Oreochromis niloticus: one gene and its partners. The protein of the gene in region 2 interacts with the protein of the main gene of each other region in a pairwise test. Links are inferred from orthologs where the notes say so. Each region holds a gene or a part of one and is shown on either strand. Other genes may lie near its edges.

The links.
Region 1: the proteins of spg21 (region 2) and atpaf2 interact in binary tests that used the Homo sapiens proteins (3 or more experiments, as listed by UniProt). The two-hybrid records come from large-scale screens. The link is inferred for Oreochromis niloticus from reciprocal best matches to the Homo sapiens genes SPG21 and ATPAF2.
Region 3: the proteins of spg21 (region 2) and dtx2 interact in binary tests that used the Homo sapiens proteins (3 or more experiments, as listed by UniProt). The two-hybrid records come from large-scale screens. The link is inferred for Oreochromis niloticus from reciprocal best matches to the Homo sapiens genes SPG21 and DTX2.
Region 4: the proteins of spg21 (region 2) and efhc2 interact in binary tests that used the Homo sapiens proteins (3 or more experiments, as listed by UniProt). The two-hybrid records come from large-scale screens. The link is inferred for Oreochromis niloticus from reciprocal best matches to the Homo sapiens genes SPG21 and EFHC2.

What each region holds. Positions count from the first base shown.
Region 1 is NC_031973.2:20,994,644-21,001,527, reverse strand, and holds the start of atpaf2 (ATP synthase mitochondrial F1 complex assembly factor 2), read left to right. Parts: upstream 1-3,873; 5' UTR 3,874-4,022; coding exon 4,023-4,096; exon of another isoform or gene 4,097-4,156; coding exon of another isoform or gene 4,157-4,212; coding exon 4,213-4,274; intron 4,275-4,366; coding exon 4,367-4,411; intron 4,412-4,540; coding exon 4,541-4,689; intron 4,690-4,959; coding exon 4,960-5,057; intron 5,058-5,811; coding exon 5,812-5,892; intron 5,893-6,884. Other genes in the region: glucose-induced degradation protein 4 homolog, read right to left, coding at 121-251, 340-441, 536-643, 2,903-2,962, 3,352-3,543. UniProt on the Homo sapiens protein: Plays a role in the assembly of the F1 component of the mitochondrial ATP synthase (ATPase).
Region 2 is NC_031965.2:4,634,424-4,642,383, forward strand, and holds the start of spg21 (maspardin), read right to left. Parts: upstream 3,025-7,960; 5' UTR 2,823-3,024; intron 2,683-2,822; coding exon 2,620-2,682; intron 1-2,619. UniProt on the Homo sapiens protein: May play a role as a negative regulatory factor in CD4-dependent T-cell activation.
Region 3 is NC_031975.2:27,654,541-27,661,983, reverse strand, and holds the start of dtx2 (putative E3 ubiquitin-protein ligase DTX2), read right to left. Parts: upstream 3,024-7,443; 5' UTR 2,697-3,023; coding exon 2,387-2,696; intron 1,922-2,386; coding exon 1,336-1,921; intron 1-1,335. UniProt on the Homo sapiens protein: Regulator of Notch signaling, a signaling pathway involved in cell-cell communications that regulates a broad spectrum of cell-fate determinations.
Region 4 is NC_031987.2:31,111,060-31,118,054, forward strand, and holds the start of efhc2 (EF-hand domain-containing family member C2), read right to left. Parts: upstream 3,025-6,995; 5' UTR 2,893-3,024; coding exon 2,851-2,892; intron 2,594-2,850; coding exon 2,405-2,593; intron 2,161-2,404; coding exon 2,010-2,160; intron 944-2,009; coding exon 720-943; intron 579-719; coding exon 327-578; intron 1-326. Other genes in the region: fundc1 (FUN14 domain-containing protein 1), read right to left, coding at 4,785-4,862, 4,967-5,095, 5,182-5,257, 6,502-6,652. UniProt on the Homo sapiens protein: Microtubule inner protein (MIP) part of the dynein-decorated doublet microtubules (DMTs) in cilia axoneme, which is required for motile cilia beating.

The DNA of each region.
Region 1 (6,884 bases), on a different chromosome or scaffold from region 2:
GAGTTTTCCCAACCAGATTTTCAGCCAGTCTAAAGCAACTTTTCAGAGGCGAGCCAACTGGTTAAAGCTCCTAACACAAGTCAACCTTGAATCACAATAACTTTTAGTGTGCTGCGTTACCATTCGGAGCTCCTGTGGTAGTAGTAGCCCTCAATTGTTGCTGTGGATTTCTGGAAGCAGATGTAGTAGAATCCTGCAAAGGAAGCGCCGCTGATGTCCTTTATTGTGTGGTCAGGGACCAAAAACTGTTCCTAAGGCAGGCAGGTGAGAAAGACCAACAGAAATATAAAAGCCAACCTACTGCAGAATTTAGTTAAGTTCACTCTTCGGTAATCATACCTTCCACCTCATGAAAATATAGTCAGAGTTCTTCAGATCCTCGTAGTCAAAATCATCAGAGTTGAATGTCTTTGCATACTGGTAGAAGGCCTGGAACTTGCCCTGGACACAAAAACGTTTACAGGATAGGACAGAATAAATCAGTCTGATGGAGACTAATTTTTGTAATTTACAAATAAAAGTGGTTTCACCTTACCCAGTGCTTACGATCCACATCCTCATCCGCATCCCATTTCCGAGTGAGAAATGGCCGTTTCCTACTGATGATCTCTCCAGCAAAGAAAGTGGTCAGAGTTGGATATTCCTAAAACAACAACGAGAAGCAATTGAAGACACATCTGGTCACTTCTACTGTTTGCAATTAAAAAGAAAGTAATATTAAATGAAACAAACACATCTGTCTATTTAATGTTCAATTATATAAAAGACAGTTCTATTCTAAAACACAGCAGAAAGTGATCATTTAGAGACTGACATATAAGAGGTATGTGTAATAAGCCAACACAATGTCACAGCTAGTTCACCACTGCATTCATACAGTGGGAATGTTCTGGATGCTCTGTACAGCAGGAACACAAAGACGTGAGCTGTTACCCAGTAATTACTTCTGTAATAACCGAGGACTCTAATTATAGCATGTATTGCGTTAGCTGTAATTTACTCTGTGAAATAGAGTTTAACACACGTCCTAACAACATAGTGTTATGGTTATTTTGCCAGTGTGCTGATAACATCTTATTTACACTATCTTTGAATGTTGCTATTAAGGCATGATTAGTAGTATAACATCCACCAATCAGAAGAAAGTTGAATTTAAGTGAACGTGGTCTTCAAGGAAGAAGCAGAGGATGAAATGAAAGCCCAATAAAGATTATTCAGAATCATCCAAAGCTACTCTAGCAGAGGCAAAGGATATAAATTAGAGCTGGAAGTAAGCTTTGTATATCTAAATTTAAAAAAAGAAAACATACACAGACATCAGTCACATTATCACAGCTTCCTTAACACTGGTTCCAGGTCTCTAAGACCTTTACAGATACGGTTCTGGATGCCAATGAGTCTTGGTAAATGGTAAATGGACTGGTTCTTATATAGCACTTTTCTACTTTATTTGAGCATTCAAAGCGCTTTATACAACATGATGGATTCATACAAGCACTTCTTTCTATGCCTGCATACTATCTAACATTCACACACATTCCCACTCTGGATGCATCTGAGAGCAATGCGGGGTTAAGTATCTTGGCCAAGGATACTTTGGCATGTAGATCGAACCACTGATTATTAAATGAACTGCTCTACCTCCTGAGCTACAGCTGTCCTGTGTTGTGCTTGGTTTAAAAAGAACCCTAAATTGAAGCAAATTTCTCTTTGTGTGTGCGCCTAGCAAATTTAGTGCAAAAAGAAATCTCCTAGAATCACAAATTTTCATTAGGGTAACTTGAATAAGTGCAAATGTCTGTAATCAGAAAGCAATTGCAAAGATTTGTCCTACAAGGCATGAAAGGAAAACACCTTTGCTAAGCTACAGCTTGACACTAAACATTTAGATTAAGACCAGAGGCCTCAATTATCAAGGGTACTAAAAATAAGTTTTCAGGAAATCATTTAACTTGTAACTAAAGTCTTGTTTTGACATTTCGTTATCTTCTGGTTATGTGTGGCCATGTGAGTTCAACCCGTGATAAACTTTGCCTTTCTTGACACCTGGTGCCAAGCAGCCTCAACACAAACTCAAATGGTGTGTTTGTGAGCTCAAAATGTAGCCTACTGAATAACACATGTTGGGTGTCTTATATCTTCTCTACCATTGCCATGATTCTGTCTGTGGCCGATCCAGACTACCCGCTCATTTCTGTAGGTATTAAAGCGTTATTACGTTAAGCCGTTAACAAGTTAACCACAGGATTTTAAGGACCTGTGTGGCAATCTCAAAACTACTTTTAACTATTAATCCAACAACATTTTTTATTGATGAGACACCATACATATTAGAACAATGTGTTCTCGACAGCCCAATCAAAAAGGAGTTGCACGGCCACAATAACTGATGTGCTCTGCCTCAGGGGGAGAGTGCAGTTACTGATTCAACTATTTCAAAGAGCACTCAAAGAAAAGGTTCAATAGTTGAAATTAAACTAGAAATTGATATTTTACAGTGACCAGCAAATGAATTAGTAGATGTTTAATGGAAAAAGTGGACAGTATGTGCAAGAAAACCTTTAAAAAATCTTGCATTTGAAGGAATTTGCCTAAAGAGATTTTTGAACAACACTGCATAAAGCCTTCAAGAAGCTAGCCTCTCTACTCTGGGCAAATAAACCTTTTGCTAAACAACTGTACTTACTTTTTCCATAGTGAATTTTTTTTTACATCAATTGGTACTTTGGTTGAAAAGCCCAATAGTCTTCGTGTTGTCTTATGTTAATGCCTTTTTCTCTTGGCACTGTTAGACATGTTTGCTACTACAAAAATAGTCACAACAATTTCCATGACAGCTGTGGCCAGACATGGTATAAATTATTTATGCTCATGCTTTAATGAAGGGAATCACCTCTCTCACCTCTGTTAGTCCTTTTATCTTCAGGTAGCCACATAAGTAGGAATCCTCCATGGTCACATGCTTTAAAAAGAAAGCAAGACATACAATAAACTACATCACATTGACATCAGTTCAGATCATGTTATGGTTTTACAAAGGCAATGCTAAATATTTAATTTCTAACAGCAACCTCAAATACAAATAATTTTCTACTGAGGTAAATGTTTGTGTAGGCCTTCACACCAATTCTGAATGTCCTTATTTGTATTTTTAGTAATAAATTACTTCAGATGCATTAAAACATTGACAACAAATTTAAAATGTTTGTTTGTATTCAGTCGTGGGCACTGCTACGGGACAGGACAGGGCTGATTTTACCAGCTGTCAATCATCATGCCGCCCGTTTGACAGATGACCAAATGCCTCTGACATCTCGACTGAATAACGAAATAGTCGCTTCACTGCCCCACCTGCAAAACAACCTCCACGTCATAAGAGTTTCCTTTGCTTTTCTGGTGGCCCCTGAATTTGGAACCGCTGTACAGGAGCGAAGTGACAACACCGGGCTGCTGCGTGTTTATCGGGGGCGGCGGGATAAGTGAGGCCGAGGATGTGAAGGCCGCGGTGGTGGAGTCGCTGAGGTATCCAGCGGGGACAGGCATGGCTCCGGCTTCGCTGACCGGGCACCGACCGCGGGCAATTGCCGTCGAGGAGAGGTACTCTGTCGGCGTCTACAAAGAGGTGGCGGAGAGCCGAAGAGGTCCAACAACATTAAAATTCCACTTAATTCCGCTACAGTTCAGTTTACCAGCAACCAAGCTCCCAAAGAAGTGGACTTCGACGCGGTGTTGTAGCCAGAAGTATCCTCCGCTCTCATTGGTCAACTGAGTCTGGCTTTCGAACATCTTCGAAGCTCATTGGTTCGCCGTGCGGAAGGTTTCGTGGAAATATTTGGATGTAGTTTTTCAACTGTTGTGTAAGGGTGTGTGGCGCACGTATAGAAGCGCTCTTTAAACTACATTTCCCGAAGAAACTAGAAGCCTCTACGCTGCTGTCAAGCGCCGAAGGTCACACGCGTGTTTTTGAACACAAAGATGCTTAAGAACTGAGCAGCTGATAAATGCAGTAAAAATAAGACTTTATGCTAATAGGAAAATATGCGTGCATTGCTAACTCTTGTTTAATGAGGACGTTTCAGACACAGACATCTCGAAGGTGTGTTTTCTTCTCAGTCAGCCTTACTTAAAAGCATCACATCTTCACATACTTTCCGCTATGCTTAGGTGTATAGTTAGACTTCAGAGTCAGGTTGGGAATGCTTTTTCTCTCAGTAAGGTGTGTCTGAGAAATCAGCACTACGAATGTGTTGCGAGATACTCCGCAGCCACAGCAGGTAAGAGCAATAACCACCGTGAACGAAAGCTCCGGTCATCTGCAAAACATTTGTGTCATTTCACCCTGATGTGGCGTTTTTCTGTTCACCAGAGAGGAAGAGATTTTATCAAGATGTCAGCATATCTCAAAGTGAAGGTATGTGTAGTATGGTCATTAGTAATCCAGTCAAGTATAGTATTGTAGTAGCAGGTTTTCCTGCCCCATCTTTATGCTTGTGTCATTCCTTAATTTAGTGGATATCTTTTGAAAAATATCTCTATATAGGTGGTTTATATGAGATAAACCTCGACCAAAGGAAGCTGAAAACTCCAGGAGGGAAGCTGTTCACGGTGCCAAATGAAGCCTTGGCCATCGCTGTTGCAACTGAGTGGGATGCTCAAAGGGACACGCTCAAGTTCTACACTATGCACTTGGTAAAGCATTTGACATGGAGTTATAGCAAAGTGTCACATGTTTTGGGGTTTTTTGTGTTTGTTTTTACGGTGGCGCCTATGTTACATAAAATAATCTTGAGAGAAAAGGAAAATTTGAGAGGATTTTTATGATTTGATAGATCATATTTATAAAAGGAATGTTACCCAGATCTTCCAACAGCTTGCAGGACGTGTACCTTTGAACTAACTTTGCCATGATATTTATACAAAACTTACAGTAATATTAATTTTGGGAAACTCTTCCCTCAGACTACCCTGTGCAACACGGCTCTCGACAATCCCACCCAACGCAGCAAAGAACAAATGATCACCGCTGCTCTCAAGTTTCTGGAGACTGACACCATCTGGTATGGCACTCGTTTATTTCTATTTATTTTAGGTTTGTTTAATTTTCTGAAACTTCAAACATAAACTCATCTGCAAATAAATGTATATACATCTACATAGTCTATATATCCTATAAACACCCATGTGCATTCACAGTTCCACGTGCGCATCTGATAATTATTTAAATTTGAATTTATACAAAATAAGACATGAAATAAAACAAACTATTTTATGTTATTAATATCCAGTAACACTTATACTCGCCTTTTTCACCTTGGGAAAAAATGTCCTTTTGCATAGTGCTATGACACTTTAAGAACAGTTCGAATTGCACTACAGTTAATTGTTCTTTCTTTATAGCTTTAAATATGTATGCTTTCCTGATCATAATGATGATGTTATTCAGCTATTTTCCTTAAGCCAACATCAGAGTTACAGGATAAATATGGAAAATTCTACTTTTAGACTTAAAAACAAATTTATTTTTGTTACAGTAGCAGAGTAAATGGATATCTGACTCCCCTTCCTGCTGATAAAACCTACTTGTGTTACACTGTTATATATCACATTTTAAAACATTTTCCTCATAGAAGCCACTCATTTATTCATTTTATTAATAAATCAGTGTTTTAACACCTATAAAAGAGACATCGACACACTGTAGACAAACTTAGCTGGTTATTTTCTGAGTTGATGTTTTTTATGTTGCTTAGTTGGCACCAATTGATTGGAGTTATTGTGACTTTAATATTGTAGGATTTATGTTTTGTGTAGTTACAGAGTAGATGAGCCCCATGGTTTAGTCGAGCTGCAGAAGAATGAATGGGACCCTGTGCTGCAGTGGATTGAAAAAAGGTAAGAACAGCTTTAGCTCTTGTTGTACATGCTGCAGTTCTTTTCAGGGTATCCTTTCTTTTCCTGATAACAATAATTAAGTGTAAAAGGCCTGATCTGTGGTGTTCACATTGCTGTACTTAATTCAGAATAGTTAAAGAAAATCTTGTGTATGTTCTCCTTATTTGAATAGTGATTTGTGCAGAAATACAGGCATATGAAAATTTAATGTAATATTATTAACAGAAAGTTACACAGGTGATCTTGTGCAATAACGGATAACATAAGCCTTATAATAATGTATCTGATTCAGATCAGTTCAATTGTATTTATATAGCCCAATTCGTAACAGCAGTTACCACAAGACACTTTATGTTGTAAGATAAAGACCTTGCAATATTAGAAAGAAACCCCAATAATCACGCCCTTTGACCAAGCTCCTGGCGACAGTGGGAAGGATAAACTCAGTTTAACAGGAAGGAAACCTCTAGCAGAACCAGGCTCAGGGTGGAGCAGCCATCTGCCGGGGTTGGGGGAGGGAGACGGGGTAAAAGACACTATGTAGAAGAGCCAGAGATTATATAACTAATGATTAATGTAGAGTGATGTATAAACGCACAGTAAGTGAAGAATATGTCTGTGAAGGTTCTCAGTCATCCAGGTCATCGTAGTCTATAAGGAGCTTGGAAAGAAAACAGCGTCTGGACTTGTTTAAGTTGCTTGAAAACCCTAGAACTGAAGAAGCTTCTCGGATGAGAGTCTTCAAGCAACTTAAACAAGTCCAAACGCTTTTTTCTTTCCAAGCTCCTTAGACAGTAAGTGACGAAGCACTCAGTGCATCATGGCATATTGCAGTTTAACTAAGGGAGGGTTCAGTGTCATCTGATCTATAAGCTTTAAAAGGAAAGTTTTAAGACTAATCTTAAATGAAGAGATGTCAATATATGCTCTCTCCTTCTAGTCCATGTCAATACTCTGGCTGTGATATTCTGCATCAACTGAATGACTTTTCA
Region 2 (7,960 bases):
TCACTACATGAGTCCGTGTTGGAGTTTGATTACAGTGTTCACTAAATACAGAATGATGAGTGGTAAAAGTGCTGCAGGCCTGGCTCATGTTACATATATAACCATGCTGCGGTAAACTGTAAACAGACTGCTTCTACTCTACCCAAGCATTTTTCTATGCATGTGCTTTCTATCCAGCATTCACACTGATGGATGCATCAGTATATGGCGTTATTTTTGTGCCTCTATTCTGAGTGCGCGTACATAATTTTTGCAAATACAAATGTTGCATTTTGAGGAGAAAATTATTTTGAGTGAAGAAAATTCATTGCTGCTTGCAAGAAATGTATTTCAGTGTTTGCTATTATCCATGTACACACACATATAATAACAACCCCTCTCGCTCAGTTGTTGGCATTTGCTCTTCCTCAGATCTCTTCTCTGTGTGCTGACAGGTATCTGCAGACCTGCTCCCAGTGTATGTCACTCCCACTCTCAACATCTGTGCTCCCTGCACGCTCAAGTTTTTCTGTTCACCGTTATAAATGTGCCAAAAAAACAAAAAAAAAAAAAAAAAAAAACACAAAACAAAACAAAAAAAACTGATGCAAAAATCCTAAATGGCTGTTTTTGTCTCCAATCAGCTCGCTAGCTACTGCATTCCGGAAACACTGTCCAAAGTGTAGCTAAATCCAGTGGAGTGCTTTGGTTTAAACTAGATTAAAACCCATTTTTGGTTAGTATGTTTAATTATTTTATTTTAAAATATATAATTTTTTAAGACCATTGTTGGTTTTATTCTAGTTTAAACCAAACCACTCCACTGGATTTGGCTAGTAGCTAAATCTTTATCTAATATCTTTTATCCTGTCTTTCTTTTCTCACCCCAACTACATGCAGCAGATGGCCACCCCCCCCCCCGGTTCTACCCGAGGTTTCTTCCTGCTAAGAGGGAGTTTTTCCTTCCCACTGTCACCACCGTGCTTGCATATGGGGGGGGGTCATATGATTGTTAGGATGTTCTCTGTATGTATTATTGTACAGTCTACTTTACAATATAAAGCGCCTTGAGGCGACTGTTGTTGTGATTTGGCGCTGTATAAATAAAACTGAATTGAATTGAAATTGAACACTTTATTCTCACACGTGTTCTCTACTGCACAAATATGGGCACTGCACAGCTGTAGATTAAATGAAGCTTGGAAACAAAAGATTTTTTATCGTCCACGCCGCCCTAGTTTAGCTGTCCGAACACGTGATCCTGAAAACAGCGGCCCTGTGATTACTGCACACAACATCAGTATAAATGTGACCATGTGACAGATGGCTGACTGACCAACATGTGTTAAGGACAGAAGGCTTCAGTGCTCACATGACAACAACGCAGGAAGTTTGCAGTGGCAGAAAGCCTCATGCACACCAGACCTGAGGACAGCCAGGCATTCAGTAGCTCACAGACTAACCACTTGGAACCTAACTATTTCCTGGCACAGCGACAGAGTGAGCCCATGTTCAGACAGCACCAGCAACAGCAGTGTGTTAGTGTGAGCAGCACTAAGCTGCTATGACTCTCCCTGGAGGAGTGTCATTGGAACTAAAGAGAAGATGTAGTGATGAAGAGCAGCTCTAACACATGGAGGGGGGGGAAACGTGGTACATACTAATGTAGTACTAAAGTACTAATGTAGTAAAACTAGTTTGTGGTGCAACTCAAATGCAGCTGCACCAAAAACTGATCCTGTGGATCATATGAGATGTTGTCATGCTCAGTGCCAAAGGTCACACGTCTGGTGATCTGACCACAAGAATGCTTGTACGTTCACGTGTAACCCTCCATGTATTCATGTACACTGCTCTGTCACAATCACTGTGACATTTCAAAATGAAATACACTGCCATGTCAGAAACACGCGTATAACAACATAAACAACTCTCCTTTCAGTCATTCCACTTCAAACAATGTTTTTAGAGAGTTTCCTGCTCAGTCATCTCTGAAAACTCGGACATGGATGATGATGACTCTGAAATTATACCTTCATATATCACATACTTTTCCACATACATTTACTTTTAAAGGCCTATCCACCCACTTTTCCACACTTTAAAGTCTGAGGCCAGATTTGAACATGAGCATTTCAAAAACTATTAAAGAAAAAAGTCTAAACTGTCTTACATCAAAATCAGGATCTGTAATTTAGGACAGACGTTAAAAAACCTCAAAGTTTATTTCTAATGCCACTTCCTGTACTTTAAACTTTCCCCGACTCCTCCAGGGTATGCTCGCAAAGTGTGTTTCCAAAAAAAATTATTTAACAATCATTTTCTAATTAGTCGAACTACATGTGCAAACTCAGATTAGACTGCCTACTGACATTTTTGTTTTCATGCTGCTCAATCCAGCACGAAAGTTAAATAAAAATTGCTTTTGTTTTTTCATTTTTGTGGTTCAGTGGAGCAGAAGGCCCCGGTGAGCTCAGATCATAGTTTCGGTTCCAGCCAGTCTCCGCCATGCACCTGTACTAAACAGTAACGTGGCTTCTAACTGCATGCGAGTTTGGTTTTCCTCGCAGGCACAGAGAGGACATAACAAGTGTGTACTTCCTTAATGACGCAGTGGGCCGAGCAGCTCTGTGTACTCACTCTTTTCAGTGGCACCGTGCTTCTGAACCAGTTGTAGTCCGGAGACACTTTAATCTCGTCCATCTGTGGACACACAAAGTAGCAGTCACAGGATGGCGGCGTGCTTCGGCCGGGGGAGGTTCGGGGAGCAAACACCGCCCGCCGCGGCTACCCGCTGTTAGCTCCGCGGCTAACTGCACGAGACCACCGACTAGACGACTTACCACAGATGTTCACCGCGGCCCGAGACGCCGTGACGCTGCTGTTCCCGTGCTACCCGTGGATGTCAGTCACCGTATCCGAGACTCCAGGTCCATGTCGGGGTACCGTCTCCTGGGCGGGCGCCTGCTCATGTGACTCCGCTTTCACACACTTCCTTAAAAGATCCTGGCTGCCGCGTTCACCCCCGCACCGCTTCTTCTTCGTCTATTGGTTTAATGAAGAATGGATCGAAAGCTTCCAGCGCAGCGCCCCCTGCTGTTTCCGTTTAAGCTAATAATCTAATTTATCTAATAAAAGCAAATATGGTGTAACTGCTCCAGGTTTGTATTATCGGCTGCACTGAAATTAAATCATTCACTGTTCAATAAAATCTTGGTTCTTCCAGTTTAACTTCTGTCAAAAACAAGTCATTAGCTTCCCATTACTCCTTTAAGCTGACTTGATTACAAACAAAAGACGCCTGAGAGGAGCAGAAAGAAGGAAGTGAGTGTTCAAAGCAGTCTCATGCTTTTGAGTCACAGGCATTACTTATGCTGACGGATTATTCCCATGTTTGATATGAGCGCCCCAACCCCTCAACATGAAATAAGGCAATGCACAATAGGTCCTTTCAATATTCAACGGCCTAACCCCATATCTGTTTAACTTTTCCTTTACTTTGGATTAAACCTGTATTGGAAATTTAAACTCTGCAGTATGCAGAGATCTCTGCTGGTTCATAGCTAATTAAGACTGGAATAAAGATAACTAGATCAGGAATGGGAGACTGAAAACTCCAAGATGGAAGTTCAATCAAAATCAAAACCGTAATTATATGGACGACTGAGTAAAAGAGGGAACCACAAGGGGATACTAACCGTAGGAAAGAATTAAAAGAGCACGAGACATACAAATACTAGAGAAATTCAGAAAAGTAGAAGAAGACAACACTGCTGTGAGCATGTTAGTCAGACATGTGGAGAATGATGACGAAAATGAGCAGATACAAAAAGATCAGCTTTAGTATATTACACGTATTAGAGCAGGGATTTTTTTCTGTGTGAGACCATCACATAAACACGTGCAGTGCAAACCACCACTATAACAATAACAAAAGATTAAACTTCCTAGCTCTTGATCTAGCTCCTAGATTAAGAATCTAGCTAATTGGTGCTGAATGAATAGAAGGGAAAACATTAAAATAATAGTGGAAATAAAACAGCTTGTTTGAGCCCTTTTCTGTTGTTGTGCTTTGGCAAAGTGTGCTCCTGCACCTTTTTCCTGGCTGCATGAGTGAAAACAGGCTGTGATGAGGATGACCTCTGCAGATGCGCACACACACAAACACTCGTAACTAGGGCTGGCTATCAATTTCAATTTCTATAACTGATTCGAATCCGAACGACATGGTCCTGATGTGATTCAATCCCTGATTCGATTCCATGTTGACTCAGACAGTCAGAAATATTAATATAATTCAGATCATTTCTTATATCTATGTATAAAAACAAAGGTGACACTTGTCAGACTTCATCACAGTAGATGCCTTTGTGTCAAAGGCATCTGCTGTGATGAGGATAAAACACAGAAAAACATGAAGGAGATTTTCTTGGCCTGGCTTTTTTATAGCAGGTAACCGCCTTAGACCACAGTAGACCAATAAGCAAACAAATAATGCAGAAAACAGATTTTTGATGGTAAACTGTTCTTGGAGCACAATGAGGGAGAGAGAGAGAGAGAGAGAGCTGTGCAGGAAGTGTGATATTATTGCGGTGGAAGCAAAACAGCAAGAGTGAATCTATGACGATGTTTTTCAAATGTGAAGTGTAGTGTAGTCTCCCAATTCAGGGGCGAAATCTTTCGGAGAAGACCGATTTGAAAGCTGATTATGTCACAGCGAGGTGACATAAATGCTGCTCCAGAAATGGAGCAAATGAAGAATATCGAAAAACTAAATGTTAACCCTTTGCACATTTCATCTAATTTTGTTTGGCAATTTACTTATTTTTACTGTTTGCCCTTTTTTGTGCTCCTTTATTTCATCTGCACTTGTCTGTTTGTGACGTTGATTATGAATGATACAGTATACTGTACTGTGCCATGTTTTTGTTTTTCAATAAATGCATTACAAAAAAACCAACAAAAACAAATGTGTCCTCCTTTTCCCCGGATTTGAAGATGGGTCGGGTGTATCCTTCGTTGTCCACGCTATCCCAGGATTCATAGCACGGCAGAAGAGTAAGCTTTTAATAGTAAGTACTCAGTTTTATGTCACTTATTTATGCGGCAAAACAAATGTTTTAAGAAGAACATTAAAACATTACTATTGGCCACGTGTCGGCAAAGTTATCTGACATTAGTGATGTTAGTAGCCTACTTAACGCGGTTTAGGTTCTACTTGATTTTAAAGCCTTTCAAAAGTTGACTTTAATCTTGCAGAGATTGTGAAGATTTTATGGATATTTAAAGTCAGGCTAAACCGTATTACACAGAACAAGCTGACATATAGACAGGCCTGGTTTTCAGCCCTGAATATCACGGCACAAGCAGGATTTATTGCACTCTTAATGTAAGTTTGATTATTTTCCGGCCTCTGTTTGGTGGTGTCGAGCCAAACAGACTTTAGCATTTGTCTTAATGAGCTGACAGTTCGCTCGTTAGGCGAAAAGAAAGGTGCTTTCTTCATAGGAGTCAAACATGTGGCCACAACTGGGAACTCATCTCATCTTATTTAGTACTCCTAATAACACAAAGAGAAAATACTCCTTCTCTTGTGCTGTTTTGTAGTACTGTATACCACCTGAGCCTGTCACTTTTCTGTCTGTCCTGCACTTTCACCTTCTCTCTTTTTTTCTTTCTCTCTGATTGTTAAATAAAAGTGTGTTTGAATCCTGCAGCTTATCACACATTTGATTTACATATCTGAAACCTGCAAGTGTCCAGAGTCAGGACTGAGGAACCCATTGCTGCAAATCATCTGTGAGGCTTTGCACCCCTGATGATCCACCAGGACAAACTCAGCAGTGTGTGAGGAAGAGCCAGCACCAGCTGAGAGATGGAGAGAATAGACAGATTGTTCCCTTTGTGTGAAGGACTGAAAGGTTTAAAATAACTAATTATCTGTCCTGAATCAGTCTTATTAGGTGATATCTAAAATAATTTTATCATTCAAGCGTTTTCAGTGTGGGAGAAAGTACTCAGGGCTTTCAAGTTAAAAACTATGACAGGCAGTAAAAAGTTTTTATATTCAGAAACTTAAAGTATGTAAGTATCAGCACCAGTATGCACCTGAAAATGAGTATCCATATTTTATAAGGATGTTATGTGTTAGTATCATTTCTGCCCAGTTTGACCCATTTAGCAGAAATCATCGTGCTTAAGGCTCTGCTATCTATTCTGTATGACTTAAAGCAGTTATGATATACCACGTTACATATAACATACATATAATAATGCACATTATGCAGTACGCTTCTGCTGTGAGGTCCTGCCTCCATGTACTTATGCATTTAATCTCTAGATGGGTATATTTAAGTGTGCCTATGCCAAGAGGCACACTTATTACTATTCGTCGGATTTATTAAGTATGCCTATGCCAAGAGGCACACTTATTACTATTCGTCGGATTTATTGTGTGGATGCCCTCAAAGGGCTTCCACACTATTGAGTTCCTGTTTCTCTTTATTGTGTGGATGCCCTCAAAGGCATCCACACTATTGAGTTCCTGTTTCTCTTTAAACTTTATTCTTTTTCAAGTTGCTGCGCGTTTTTCGGCACTTAACTACTCCCTCAGTTTTCAGCCGATTTTCTCCGTTCAAACTCTAAACTGTTCTGCTATTTCTGCTAATTCCAGCTATATCTTTTGGTGTTTATTACTATTATACTTTTTAAAATATTACACTTTTTTCCTTTAATTTGTCCCATTGAAATGAATGGAAAACTTCCACAACTCTGCTAAAACTTGCTTGTTTTTGAAACTTAACTACTTCCTCATACTTTCACCTAGAAACTCCATTCAAACTTTAAAATGTTCTCAAATTATTGGGCTATTCCTGTCTGATTCAGCTTTTTCAGATCTTCTACCGTTTTAATTTAATGCCTCTTTAAGTTTTCAGTTGCAGCTTTGTGATTTTTCAGAAAATACATGCGTTGTTATGGTTGCTATGCAATTAACTCACAGTGAGCACTGGTCCTTTCTGAAACTTCTCTTCATGTCCGAACAACTTCTTGCTGCTCACTCAATTTTCATTCAACCCCCGCAAATTATACATCAAAACGTAGGTATTTTTGCTGACTTTCAGACAATGTCACTATCTTTATTGTGAGATTTACCGTTTTTTCACAATTTGCCTCGAAGTGACACAAGGTTTCAATACTCCCCATTCAAAGTCTATGGGGAGGTTTTGAAATTCAGAGCTGAAATTCTGTAACGGGAGGCATTTTCAAATCGCCATATCTCTTAAACAAAGCAAAGTTAGGACATGAGGCTTGTGCCAATATATCTTCAGACACTGCTGACACTCACAGTGGAAGCAGTTTTTACAGTTATCTTACCGTTGAGCAATGAATTACGTTTGTTTGAGGGGTGGAAATCTGTCCTCCTCTCAGTTTTCAAACTCCGAAAATGAAGCCGTTTCTTCTCTCGTCATATCTCCGCGACGGAGGTCCAAAGAGCAATAAAACTTGCAGTCAAAGTATACCAAAGTCCGCTGATTCACCCAGTACAAGAATTATGCCGCTAGCCCTCCTAGTTTTTGAGTTACACGATGTTTTGTAACTCCAAAAAACGGCGCTTTTCGCCTCTCACCGCGATCTATTTCTGATTGCTGATGTCTTTGTTTTTCAGCCGCCCGCCCCCTTTCCAGGTGGCGCAATCAGTAATGATACGGCTCTGCAGCTCAAACGTCGTGGGTTCAATCCCACCTTGTTCAACTTTTTTTTTTTCACTACAAATTTATACACTATCACAGACCTGTAATTTATATTGCTAATTTTTTTCACTACAAATGAGTAGTGCAAAAACATACTATGTCTGCAACATCACAGTATATCTGTTATGTTATAGTATTACTACTAAATCACAGTATTTCTGCCAATTCAAGGAGGCTGACTGTTACTAAGTGCATCAGTGTACATAGGTCATCTCTTGTGTTGGAGTGCC
Region 3 (7,443 bases), on a different chromosome or scaffold from region 2:
AGAAGCAGCTGTCAGTCCTCGAGTATGATGGAGCGCTAAACTAAATCCAGTTAAAGGGCTGCAAAAAGGCAACACTGACTCAGTGCTGAGGTGGTACTGGTCTATTTCTGTAGCCAAAGGGCTCTGTGCACAGAAGTCTGAAAGACATATTGCTTGAATGATTATGGGCTATGACAGCATGTCCGCAACTGTAAAGATAAAGATAGTAATACAATTGTTCATTAAGTTAAACATAATACAGTAACTGACCTTAAACTTTTAAATACAATTCAAATGAAAAACATAACAAAGGAATTAAAATAGAGGTGAGGATGATGGTGGATCCAGACTAACGGATGTTTTTGACCATGCAGTTCATGTTACAAGGGCACCCGCCAGGAAATTTGCTGGCGCAGATGGGGCGAAGCGAGCCCCAGGCGGCACAGTGACCCAGGAGAGCCACACAGTGAACAAAAGAGAGCTGAAGCCGACTGCCAAACTGTAGCAGAAAGTGAGCCAAGTTAAGAGAATCCCTTGTTCTGTGGTTCCGTGGTCGGATGGACTCCACAGACTCCTTGCTCTGGGATCAAGGAGCAGGGAAGAGGGAGAACACCACAGGCAGCCGTGACCCAAAAGGGTGGAGTGACTCAATGGACAGGAAGTTTGCAACATTTTTTTCAGTCATACAAGTCTTGGCAATTAAAGTACTTGAAAGGGAGTATTATGATGTACTATTACACAATAATGATTATTTTTTCCATGCATGGGTGCACCTCCTTTAGCATCCACACCCAGGAGTTAAAAAAATTGAATTAAATTAAACACATGGCAACCATTTCTCTTTGTAAAGCATACACCTCAAAGAGAAATGTGAAAGTGTGGGCTTTAGTGAATGTAAACATTCACCGCAAAAATGTAGGCAATTCTTTTGTCTACTGAGCAACCATGTTTTTAATACACTAGTTTTAATTTCTAGTGGCTAAAACTCAGCGTGCAAAAAAATTAAAGCCCAGAGAAGCTGCAAGTGAACTAGATATTTATTATACCACTGAATTAAGCAATTTGTCCTGTAAGTAAGCTTTCTCTGCTATCTGGAACAAAAAGAAGGGAGGTCAGTGATGACACAGACAAGAGTCACAGGAAGTGAGCCAAAGCAAACATACCAATGAAGTACTGGAGCTACAGATCTGTTTTTTTTTTTTCCGCCTTTCCTGTTTTACAAGAAAGGTCAACACTGACAGAGGCAGGAAAGACAAAGAGGAAGAGGAGGAAAGCAGATAGAGGACCTTGTAACATGAACCCTGCACATCTAACCAAACCACACAATTGAGGATAGGATAGGTGTCAGATACCAACCTTAACCCATTGGCACTGGTAGAGTTGGTCAGAGATGCAGAAAGTTGGCTGCCAGATGTCGGTGGAGCCCAGGGGCTGCCCCAGGACATGCCACCAACTGAGAGAGGTCTCCTGGGGTACGGGGAGTAGACAGAAGTGGGATGAGCCGCCACAGCCCTTCCTGTGCCTTGAAGACTAGGCCGGTTCAGACTCCCTGATGAGAAGGAATGTCGCGAACGGCTTGGCATGGGTCCGGTGCTGCTGTGGCTTAAACACTGCTGGCAGGAGCAGGCGGGGCCCGAGGGGATAGCTGGGGGTCCGGAAGAAGCCAGCGGGTAGGGGAGGTTGCACTGGCGTCGCACCTGGCGTCTGAAACCCGTCGATTTGTTAACCTGCGCCAGAGATGTGAGATCCACTATATAATTGTATCCATGCGGGCCCAGGTCTGCTGTGCCTTGGCGAGCCTGATAGCTGTGCTCCAAAAGGATAGAGGTTCGAGTCTCATATGGGGTCCATCCTCCTTCATCATTGGCCCATTCCCAGTAAACACCACTACCAAGGCCGGAGGACTGGGCAAACAGAGACCGGCGTACTGACCGGGTCTTACCTAAAAATAAAAGAGGCACATTGATTTTTAGTGAATAAACTGAATGAAAACTGCAAAGTTGTGTGTGTGTTTTGTTTTTAAGACATAAACGAAAAGCCCCCTGTTCATTCACTTGTATGCCAGAACTAATGACACATTACATATATGACTATAACTCAATTTAAAACACACATACACACACACAAAATTATGACAGTTTAAGACACTCCAAGCATCTTTACATGTTAATCTCACAATGTTGTGACGTATTTCAATGATTTGTAGCTAGGTTCACAGTAAAAATCTCGCTAAAGAACTGTAACTTTATGCATACTTCTCAGCTTACATCAATCAAAACAACAGCGCCCCTGCAAGCTAATGCTAGCCGGCTAACGTTACAGCCAACCGGGCCTGTGAGGTTTGAGGCAAAACCGTTAACGAGGAATAAACGTAAAGGTCATGCCATGACGTGTTAGATATGTTTACCTGTGTCCTGTCGAAACTGCTTCAAGCTTGGTATGTCAATGAGGTAAGGCGACAGGCTGGGGTCTGATTGTCCGAGACAGATGCTCGTAGAGCCGGGTGCTCCTCCTCTGTGGCCCCGCGGTGACAGACACCGCTCGATGTAGGCGCTCACCTGGCCGCTGTAAGGCCGCCAGTAGCCCTGGTCATCCTGCCATTCCCACACCGCTATCATGGGCTGAGACTGCCCGACGGATCCAGAGGGTGTAGCTGACACAGGAGGCCCGTTTCTAGACCCGTTTACCCTGGCACAGGACCCAGACACAATTGCCATATTCGCCAAAACTAGCCCTAAGCTAACAACAACTCGTTCTGGTTAGCTAGTCAACCGATTGTGGCTGCGACGAAGACAAAGTGTGCTAGCTGGGCTAGCTTGGCTCGTTAAAAAATTCCATTATGAATGTGTTAACGCGCCTTTGAGGAAGTTATGAGGTAGATATCAATTGGTAGACGGCCCAGATAAACACCTAAGTACATGTTTGCGAAGCTGATGCATTCACACGGCTTAGCAGTACATGGTTAACGTTAGCTTTGTTGCGGCGTTGCCAGGAATCCGTCCTTCTTCTGCCGCTGCCTTCAGGGACCGTCGGTAATATCACCACTCTCGTCTCAATCTGAAACAGAAAACGTACATAAACCGCTGGTTCCCCTTTCTGAAAGCTATATTTATTTTAGACCACAGTGACACAGACTATGAGCGTATTTAATATCCTTTTTTTGTTGTGATTTTTTGTTTTTAATTCGGTTTCCGGAGCTAAACGTGTCATTTCAGTTTTGTTTTTATTGTTTGAGAATGCTCAGTTTTAGTGTATTTTTCATTAATTCTTTAGGTTAAGTATTAGATTCACTTTTTATTTATAATGTAATGGGTGGTATGCGTCAGCGGCAAGATTTAGGGCAAAAATACAATACAGCGATAAAAATACTTGACACAGAGACAAGCAGACATTCCAGTATCAATAAACACAGGCACCAATGCCCCATCACAAAACTTTTATTTTATACTAAGAATTTAGTAAGTAGGTAATTATTGCTTCACTTAATTATTTCTTTTCTAAAGTCTAGGCTTTTATTTAAACTCAACCTTTTTCCCCCTCTCACACCTAATTTCAGTTTTTAATTTGGTTTAACTATAATAACCGTATTATAATAATATTCACTCTTTGTAACAAGGGGCCCGTATGTGTGTAAGTGAAATCTCATCAAATACATCTAATGTCTTTTTGTGAAATAAAATTGTGATTAAAATGTTTCCAGGTGACATCTGGAGCCCGCAAAGATCTGGGATTTTTTTTCTTTATCATCTCAGCCGATAACACGCAGACAGTCTTCATTCCTTGGCACAAGTGGTGGTGCAAGGTGATGATTTATTTAAGGCATTGCGGGGGTGGGGGTTGGTAGTTCTTAAGGTGGAGCACCATTTCTCATGTCATCTTTGACCAATACTACAGCAGATGACTAAAACAAAAGCTTTTTGTGCACACCTCCTCACCTCTAAAATTTTCACTTACAAGGTGCGCATGAAGGTTGCATTCTTCTTCTTTCACACTATCCCCCTCTTCTTTCCCTGCTTCTGTATTCAAAGGAGATTAGAACCCCCTCAGTAGTATTTCTGCCCTCAACTGGAGATAAATGGGTATGACACAAATAACTGCATATGAAAACCTACCAAACGGCCTTCTAAAACCTCAGGCTGGTTGCTTGAGTAATTACTAATTATTTACCAGACACCACTAAACTGAATGCTGCCCAAAATTCCAGTGCTAGCACAGGTATAAGACTAAAGATGGCGATAAATGGCTTTGTGATCCATCTGCCACACAAACTAGATTATTACTGGATCTAGTTTGTAAGGATGGTGTTCATTAAATTCGGCTACGTGATAATAGAACTAGACAGTTCTGACACCAGTGTGAACATTGATTAAAGTAGTGGCCAAATGGGATTTGAGCTTTCCCCTTAGCCCATAAAGTGACACATAATCAATAGCCAAGTCCATGCCAAGTAGTTTCAAAGTGACAAATGTAATAATAATAACTAATAAAGACGAGGATCTGATGTTTCAATATAAAAAATAAAACCATTCATCTGTGGTTTTTCGAATGTAACTAGAACACATTGTCTCCACACGCACGCACAAAAAAATGACAGTAAAAAATGATGCAAGCAGCCATTATTTGGTTTGAAGACGGAGTCAAATGATTTAGCAGTGAGAACATTGCTTTGAGTCATCTTTTCCCGAGGTCTGCTCTTAAAGTCCTGCAGTTTAAATGTTTTCAGATTTATCAGTGTAAAATAAATTTATTGCATCTGATGTTCTTATTATTTTTTGTCTTTGTCTTTCGTGCAACAAGAAAACAGAAACACTGAAATGATCTCAAGGAAGATTTGCAGTCCTTATGCCCGTATGACATAGATTTATAAAAAACAGTTTCTATCTGTCCACACAGTTTTGGTTTTATTAGCTGAAGTTGTGAAATATGCATTTGAGATTTTTTGCCTTCTTCCTCATGAAGGTAACTGGAACTTTGTTTGTGGTGCCTGCAGCAATAAGAAATGACATTTAAAAATTTAACAGGAACAGAAGCAGTGTCCCTGCAATAATCCACAGGCATCACTATGATTAGGTTTCTAGGGGCGGTTTTCTCTCTTTCTCAGCCCACTTAAACAATCCTGGTTGTAGCTGAAGGTCACACGCTTCTTAAAACTGAGAAAATAGAGTTGAACGAGAGCCACAGTCCATTACCGTGATTCTGTAAATAAGCAAAATAAATTTTTAAAAAGCAAACTTAGGCACAGTGACGGACTAGTTTGTGCCTGTGACAGCAGGGATGGGCTCCAGCATGCCTGTGACCCTCAGCTGGATGAGAAGTTAAGAAAATGGAATAATGGAGCAAAGGAGCTTAAAGCTCCAGCAATACTTTTAGAATACAGAACAATTTAATTCTTTGACAGACGTGTTTTGACTTGGGGCCTTCATCACGGTCATCACAACACAAATTACAAACAACATTTTAAGTAGAGGCGAAAGGATGAACAAAGCTGCCCGCTTGGCAGATATGTATGTGGATGCATGTCTGCTGTTTCCTGTGATACAGGGTCAGAGTCTTGCACTTAAAAAAACATTTTTAATCATTAAAAAAATACAATTAAAAATGATTTTGTCACGACTAGAAGATGAACCTGCTATCAAAATGCAGGTAAAAAGACCACCTTTCAAACACTACTTTTCAAATTATTATTATTAGTTTTTTGAGTTTTCTCCAGTGAATTATCAGAAAACACATAAAACATTCACAAACATTAAATTAGTTTTGCTATTGAAACTATGATATATCTCGTGATGCTCAGAAATTGTTATTGAGGTCTTGAATATACATGACCACAAACCACACATGGTGTTAATACACCACTCTGCATTTAATTATGAGTTATTATTAATCTCAGGCTCTCATCCACAGCATGTCTTTTTTCCTGTCTTCCTCCCCTCAGCCCCAAACAGTCACAGCAGATGGCCCCGCCCCTCCCTGAGCCTGGTTCTGCAGGAGGTTTCTTCCTGTTAAAAGGGAGCTTTTCCTTCCCGCCGTTGCCAAAGTGCTTCCTCACAGGGAGTCATCTGATTGTTGGGGTTTCTCTGTAATATTTTAGGGTCTCCACTGTACAATATTAAGCACCTTGAGGCGACTATTGTTGTGATTTGGCACTATATAAATAAAACTGAACTGAATTGGAATTACTGTTAACCATGTCATGTAGGATGTGTGTCAATCAGTGTAAGATTGAGTGAATAAGGCCCCAATCAGATAGGCCTCGATACCTGTCTGCAACCATCTGGTAACCACCCGTTGCTAAGGAAGTTGCACCTTTTGAGACACGTTGGCTGCACCTCGAGGCACAGATTTTCACACTTTTTCAAGTTGTACTACCACTTTGCTACCAATTATATAGTATTTGAGGCAACCATACAATCAGCTAGCAACCGAAGATTTTTGATGCAGCACCTTCTTTGCAACCACTTTCACCCAGCGAGCACTAGCAACCTCCAGCTACCACTGCCATTCAGCGGGGATTAGACATTTTCTGTAGCAAACAGTAGTTGCATAAGGTATAGCAGACAAAATTTTAAAAAATGTGCTAAACAAAAACTAGATTCTTGCTTTAGATCGTGACATTTTGATTATGTAATGCAGTGTAAGCATCTCCAGTACTTACAAGATAATGAGGATACAAAAATGCTGGAAATATTCATGCAAAATAATGCAATTATTAAAAGCACAACATTTAGACCCATCGCTCTGTAGTCTACTTTGACAACATGCAATTTGGAAATGCCATTAACAGCTGCATTGGTGCCATTCTGTATGCAAACTTGCTTATAGGATTTACAGCTTTAGCATTATCATGGTGTGAGCATTTATTACATTAAACATATACATAAAGGTTATTAAATAATGGCTGATGTTTCATATTTATCAGGTTTGTGCTTGTACATTTGATATTAAGAAAGGATCTTGGAGTCTTGATTTTTACTCAGCCACTATGAAATAGTCACCTACACTTATCAGTGTTAATAAATCATGGATTTCATAATTCATCAAGTCTGCAGTTGTAAATGCTAATAAGCAGCTTACAAATGGATTTTGGTCCAGATGTCTTGCAGACCTTTACAAGAAGATAAGTGATCAAATAGTCAGTTGTAAGGGAGAATTAAATAGCAGAGGGCTGTGATCCATGAAGGATTTGATCACAAACTTGCAAGCTTAAACTGATCTGTTGGGTATGGGAAATGTTGCATTAGCCATTTCTACATCTTTAAATACTGTTTAAAAATCCTGTGAACAGATACAACTATGCACACTTTTTACATGGTATTTGTTGTGGCAGTATGTATGCTGCCTCATTTGATATACAAACAAACCCAGTTCTGAGAAAACTGGGACACTGTGTGAAAAAAATTAAATATGATACAATAAATGAATAAATGAATGCAATGGGTTGAAAATCTGATTAACTCACACTTT
Region 4 (6,995 bases), on a different chromosome or scaffold from region 2:
AATTAGGCTTGGTCAGTCAGTAACTGGAGGAGAAAGCCTACATGCTTGAGGGAAACTGGGTGCTAAAGCAGTCCTGTCAGAGTGAATGAGGTCTCCATGAAAGCAGGAAGACGAAAAGAAGCAACACAACCAGAAAGAGGGACACTGCAAGCCTTTAGGTTAGGAGTAACCATCTTTAAATGTTAACTAAAACAAAGAAATAGCAAAACTTCAAGCTCAAAAAAGCCCTTATTTACCCTTTTGTATAAACCTGTCTGTGCGTTTCTTCCTTATTCTCTCATTTCTCGACAGCTGTTATCGCGCTCTTATCACGCTGCCTTACCTACCTTAGGTAGTCTGCAGCGACGAAGAAATTTGTTCACTTTGTCTCTGCCAGAATTTGGGGGGATCACCTCCCGGATCTCTATGGTGTCATCAACCAGGAAGTAGTGCAGTATGAGCTCCCGCAAGTCAACATAAATGCTCTGTGAGTCATCCCAGAAGCAGTAGAAGCGCAGGACTTTGCGGTCATGGTCCAAGAACTGCTTCAGCGTATCATGTCTCTCATATGGCCGAAGCGGCTGCATACTCTTTTTGAGCTGAGAGCGTGAAACAAATAAATTATTCACTATAACTTTCTTTAAAAATAAATAAATAAAGGAGGATTAAAATATAGTTCGACAGAGTTATATGAGTTGAAATAAAATACAAACAACAAAAAATGTATTTCGGATGCTCACCTGTTCCCGGAGGCTGCTGTAGGGGTCCTCAGGTACAGTGGTAGGGTTATTTACGTGCACCCCACGTTTTGTCAGAAAGTTCCTTGTGAAAGCGTCACAGTCAGTCACAGTGAACGTGCGAGAGTACAGCTTCATCTGTTGGTTGATGTTGAAATGGAACAGGTTGTAGAACTGGCCTTCATTTGGAGGAGGCAGTGGGATACGGTGGCGACGAATGAGTGTTCCTATGACAGGGATCACCAACACAGAATTGGTAACAAACGGGTCTGGAAACTCTCATCATATTGCATTTTTGGGCCACTTGGGAAAAAGCAGAAGATGAACAAAAGTCCAAACCTAATCCCAAAAGAGTTGGGACGCTGTGTAGAATGTAAATTAAAACAGAATGCAATCATTGACAAACTCATAAAACCATATCAGTCTGAAGAAATGTCTTTTTGCAAGAGACAAAGCTGAAAATCAATGCTGAATGCCCATGATCATCGCCACCCCGAAGGCATCTAATACAGGCATGGTTTTGTCATGGAAATCACTGCATCAGCTCAGGAACACTTCCAGAAATCGCTGTTCACTGTCCACAAATGGTTGGCAGAAACGGTTAAAGCTCAATCATGCAGAGAAGAAACTGTATGTGAACAACGCCACCATCTTCTCTGAGCCAACACTCATTTAAAATTTACAGAGGCAAAATAGACTGCATCTGTAGTCAGACAAATTAAAATGCAATATTTGATTTTTTATTTCTTCACAGTGTCCTTGGGACTAAAGATGAGAGGAACCATAGAGGTTGTTATCAGCCTCACTTCAGAAACCTGCGTCTTTGCTGGTATGGGGGTGCATTAGTGAATATGGAACTGGCAGTGTGCACATCTGGAAAGGTGCAATCAGTGCTGAAATGCATATACAAGTTTTAGAGCAACATATGCGCCCATCCAGACGATGTCTTCAGTGAAGGTCTTGTATACTTGCAAAACACTGCTAAAACACATACTGCCTCTATAACAACTTTCATAGGTATAATTCTATAAGAGAAGAATGGGACAGCTTTTCTTCTGTCTTCTCTTCTTCTTCATCTTCCGCCCATCAAATTCAAAGTGACCTTATTTTTTTCTTAAAAATGTTTCAACTTTTTATTATGAGTAAAATGTGAGTTTATCAGATTTGCAACTCATTGCATTCTGTTTCCATTTACATTTTGCATAGTGTCTAATTGTTTATTTATTTATTTATTGAGGCTGTAATTGAATTTAAGCAATATTCTCAAGATATTTCCTGTTATATCACAGACACCTTGGGGAATGCCACTGTTCTTGTACTCCGGCTCCACAACCTGTATGGTATCGTCTTCCAGGAAGAAGTAGATCTTACACTTTCTGATTCTGTACGTCTCAGACTGAGCCTCAGGTACAGTCTCCTGGAAGTATGCATCAAAACACAGAACCTAGAAGGACAAAGTGATATTTTGTGGCTAAAATTACTCAAATGACAAATGTTTAGTTAGTGAAATGATGACAGGCTTTAAAAAATAACAGGTTTTATTTTTTTTTTTTACTTGAATGAGTAACACAAGCTATTGGAAGCTTTAAACCTTAATAACAGACGTAAAAAAAATAACACAAAGCTATACCATAATACGTGTCTGTGTTTGTCTGAGTGGACAATTAAAATCAGTTTCTATTATTCACCTGTTTGTCAAAGGTTACCCATGGTGGTAAACCGGTACCACTTCCTATAGGATAGACGGAGTACTTTGATTTAATCTCCTGACCAACTAAATGTTCTCCTCCAATGCCTGGCTTCTCAGACCCAACCAGCATAGGGACTCCACTGGAATAGTCAAAATGTTGGGATTTGTGGAATTTCTCCTTCCCCAGCTGTGGTACAGAAAGGAGAAAGTATATCTGAGCACTTTCTATTAAAAACATGTTAAATAGACTGGTTCTTATATGCCTGAGCACTCAAAGCTCTTTCTAAACAGCATACCTCACTCACCCACTCGTACAACCACTTTTATCTGAGCTTAAGTGCTCTCTAGCTAACAGGCGACCTGGGGTTAGTTTCTAGCTAAGGAAGTCGCCTGCTAACGAAACTCAGTAATTTGCGAGAAAAATACGAAGTGTCTTAAACTTACTCTTTCATTGGGAGAGTTCCCTGGCAGAAACGGTAAAGCCATAGTGGTAATACTTATAATTGTTGGATTACTTTCTCCATAAAACTCAGCAGCCCTGAAGTTCCAACGGTCTGTTATTGGTCTGTTACCATGGAAACGTCTATTGGGGACACGTCTCTTAGCAACAAAAAGAACCAATAAAATATTTTTATTTTCATAACAATATTCAAATTATTGCTGTTCATCGTATATTTTGATGCTAACATAGCCAATAAATTTAAAAAAAAAATTATACATTGTTTTTCCTCCAAGTTAAAAAGTACAACAGAGAGTAAACTGTGTACTTGTGTACTATTTATATATTAAAGTTTACAAATAGTATCAGAGTTGGTATATTTTTTACCACCTCTACTAAGGTAATTGAGTAATTATCCCTGTAAATAATACCTTGCTGTTTATAGTTTACTGTACATTCTGATTTGGAAATAATTCTTGCTGGAACTTTTACACTATCTATAAGCCCTCTGAGTCTACCTAAAAAAATTATAATTTAATGTATGCCACACACATCCTGCAAAAATTAAAGTTGGACTTAAGAATACATTATAACACACCCTGTTTCTTTATAAACTGTAAACTATTATGCTTGTAGGGCATACAAAAATAAATGGCCAGAGTAACAGCTCATTTTTGTTTCTAATTATATGTGAAACATTTTACAAAATCCAAGTGAAAGTAAACTACTTCTGACACAACCCAGATCTCGGCTGAAGTCCCGGGGTGACCGCGTGTTTGCTCTGGCTGCCCCGGTACTGTGGAATACCCTTCCTCTTGTCCTCCGCGCATCTGATTCCATTGCACTGTTCAAATCACGACTAAAAACCCACTTATTCAATCTTGCCTTTCGCTCTAGTTAATATTTTTATGATTTTATATTATGCACTTTTATGCTCTAATTTCTTGTTTGCTCTGTACCTGTTGCTTTCCTATGTATCAGTGACAGCTACCTGCTTGCATACCTAGTACTTGCTTTGGTCCTATTTCTATTATCTTCCTTCTACTCTCTATGTTACTTGTTAAGCACCTTGGCATACCCTTGGTTTTTAAATGTGCTTTATAAATAAAGTTTATTATTATTATTATTATTATTATTGAACCAAAGCATGGATGAATGTATACTAACAGACTTCAAAGGCATCAGAGACTAGGTTTCATCATCTTTACAGTTAAATAAACTGCACTGTAAATTGAATTAGACACAATTCAACATATTTCTTTATTTTTATTTACTTACATAATAGTCAGACCACAGCCTTCAGTACCCAAAGTGATGGTAAACATAATAGATCATAAAAAAACAGAGACTGCAAAGACTGGTGTAACCCAGTGTTTACTTTGAAGATGATTGATTATAACGTGTTGAACCAAAATATAAAAATTAACAGTGGCACTGATAGAATACCCTAAAGACATGCATCCCCTGCCATGTGTAGGTGAACTGAAATCTATTTGCCCCAACTGTGCACAACCACAGTGGGAAATCTTTCCTTCTGGAACATTGTCCGTTTTTTTAATAAATACATAATAACAGAAACATTCTGTTGGGTTTCCTTTTTTAATTTAATTTCCATGATATGTATTATTATTTGGCGTTAAAACTGGAGTGTTTCAAGACGGCCATTCTGGGCTAATAAATAAGTCCCACGTCTATATCAAAAATACTTGCAAGTACGATGTTATAAACAGAAGGGTTTGCAATGCAGCTTAAGTAAAAACACAGAGCTCCAAGCTAAACTGGTATCTGTTGGTCACTTGCTGTTAAAACTCTTGAGAACTTAATTATAATATTGCTAATTATAAGCAAAGACTTATAATTATCCTCTATAGCTTTTTATAACATCAGAAACATAACACAAAAAACCCCCCAATAATACACTCTTCTCATTCGGTAGGTCCTAAGATGCCAGGCCGAGAAGGAATCCTCCGATGAAGCCACTTGTGACGACAATGTTTTTCTTCACAAACTCTCTGGACTGAAAGATACAAATCATATTTCATATGACACAGTCGCTTTTTCATTGTAACGGGAGGGTGAAAATGATCTCACAATCAACCAGACAACTCACAAAAAAATTACCTTCTCAACAAATGTGTTGAGCTCAGGGACTGCCTGATCTGTTCCCTTCTTTAACTGCTTCTTAGCTTTGTTGACATCCTTCTCTACTCGCTTCCAGTCCACTTGGATATAACCACTGTTGTTAGCTACCTGAAGAAAGACAGATTCATGAAAACAATGTCAACGTGTTGAAAAGCTTAACCTGCACATATTTATGCAGGGCGATGCAATAATACCTGTAAAAGCAGAAGACCGCCCCCCACTGCAGTAGCAGCAACTTTTCCAACCTTCTGGAAGAGGTAACCTGCACACCTAAGGCAAATTGAAAAGAGAGCATAGTAGCTGATCTAACAATAATAATGACACAAGTTAGCCTAACAATGACCATTGTGAGGTGGCCATTCACTGTCATAAGGTTTGCATGATGTGAAAGGTCCCACTGATAAAGTATAACTAAGACACTGTTTGCAAGATACCTTAACTGCAGAGTTATAAAGTTGGGAGTGTGAAATTTGTTTTCTTAAGTGATGGCAAAATACAATTTTGTCTCTCTGCTACAGTAACATGTGAACAGCGAGATGAGCATGCACTATATGTAATACAATACTGTGCAAAACGTTTTGAGCTACTCCTCATTTCAATATATTTTGCTTCCAAGGAGCCAGGCCTCCTGGTCATTTTTTAAAGTGGCCTTGAGCAGTAGCTCTCCAGCCCTTCTGATGCTCTTTTAATGTTTTTTCTTTGGACTTTCCTTTCCAAGTTCTGAGGTATGCCAAATGACACAAGAACTGGATTGTAAATCGCTTGTCAAAAGTAATAAATTCATGAACACAGTAAAAGTTCTTTGATCCACCATGCAATGTCATCTCCAAAGTGTCTGATTTGGAAACTGAAACTAAATAATGAAACTGCTGCCATACACGCTGCTAAAGGTATACCTGGATAGAATCCCCCCCCCCTCCAAAAAACAAACAAAAAACACGGTGGAACGCAGTCAGCCACCAATTGTGCAAAGCCTGGACCTCAACATTACTGAAGCAGTGTGAGATCATCATGACAAAGAATGGAACAAAAGGCATTCAAAGGAGAACTTTGAAGAACTATCTTTGAAGAGTGCTTAAAGGAATTAGACGAAAGCTTTCTGAGGAGACTTCAGGCTGTTGAAGAATACTCATGACCTTGATCACTTTCAAGGTCATTAGTATTGTATAAACTCTGTTTTGCTTTATATACTGTATGACATATATGTTTGCATGTTTCAAATAATGTCTGCACACATTTCATATTTTCCTAGCAAAGGAAATGTGGGGTGGCTAGAGATTTTTGCATAGTACTTTAAGAAATAAAGACATCCGTGTCCAATCAGCCAACAGAAAATATACTGTAAACAAGATGAGACACAGAGCAATTTATAACCATCTAAATTAACCTTGAGATTTTCTAATTTTGCGTTAGGGTGTTTCTCAGCCATTCATATTTACTAGAACTACAACTACATGAAGTGCTTAACTAGGAACGCTAAAGGCAGCATAATGCATTTTAATGAGAATATTTACCATCCACTCACTCCACCTATTGCAATCTGTGTAGCCACAGAGTATTTTTCAGCTATGGGGCCGGAATTCTTTCCGAAAAGGCGGTTCCACCATCGCTGACGTTTAGCGTATTCTGTCAGATCCACGACCTTGTCGTAAATCTCATCTTCCACTTGTGTACATACAAGGAAAAATAAAAGACAGCTAGCATGAAATAACAATGAATGCAGCAGCGACAAGCCTTACAAGCACAGTTACATTAATGCTACAAAATCAACACACGATTCTAGACGCTATTATCCATTACTCAACTATAAACTGTAGTAGTTTCCTGCTTTTTTACTTAACAAGATCTATCATGACAAAGGCAGATACCAATAGTTTCATTACGGGCTCCATTACAACTTACTAAAATTCCTGGGCCTAACAATAACTTAGCATGACTACACAACTAAAGCTAACAGGTGAAAAGTTAATGCTAGCTGTAAATGGTGCGGCCCAAGAGAGAGTCAGCG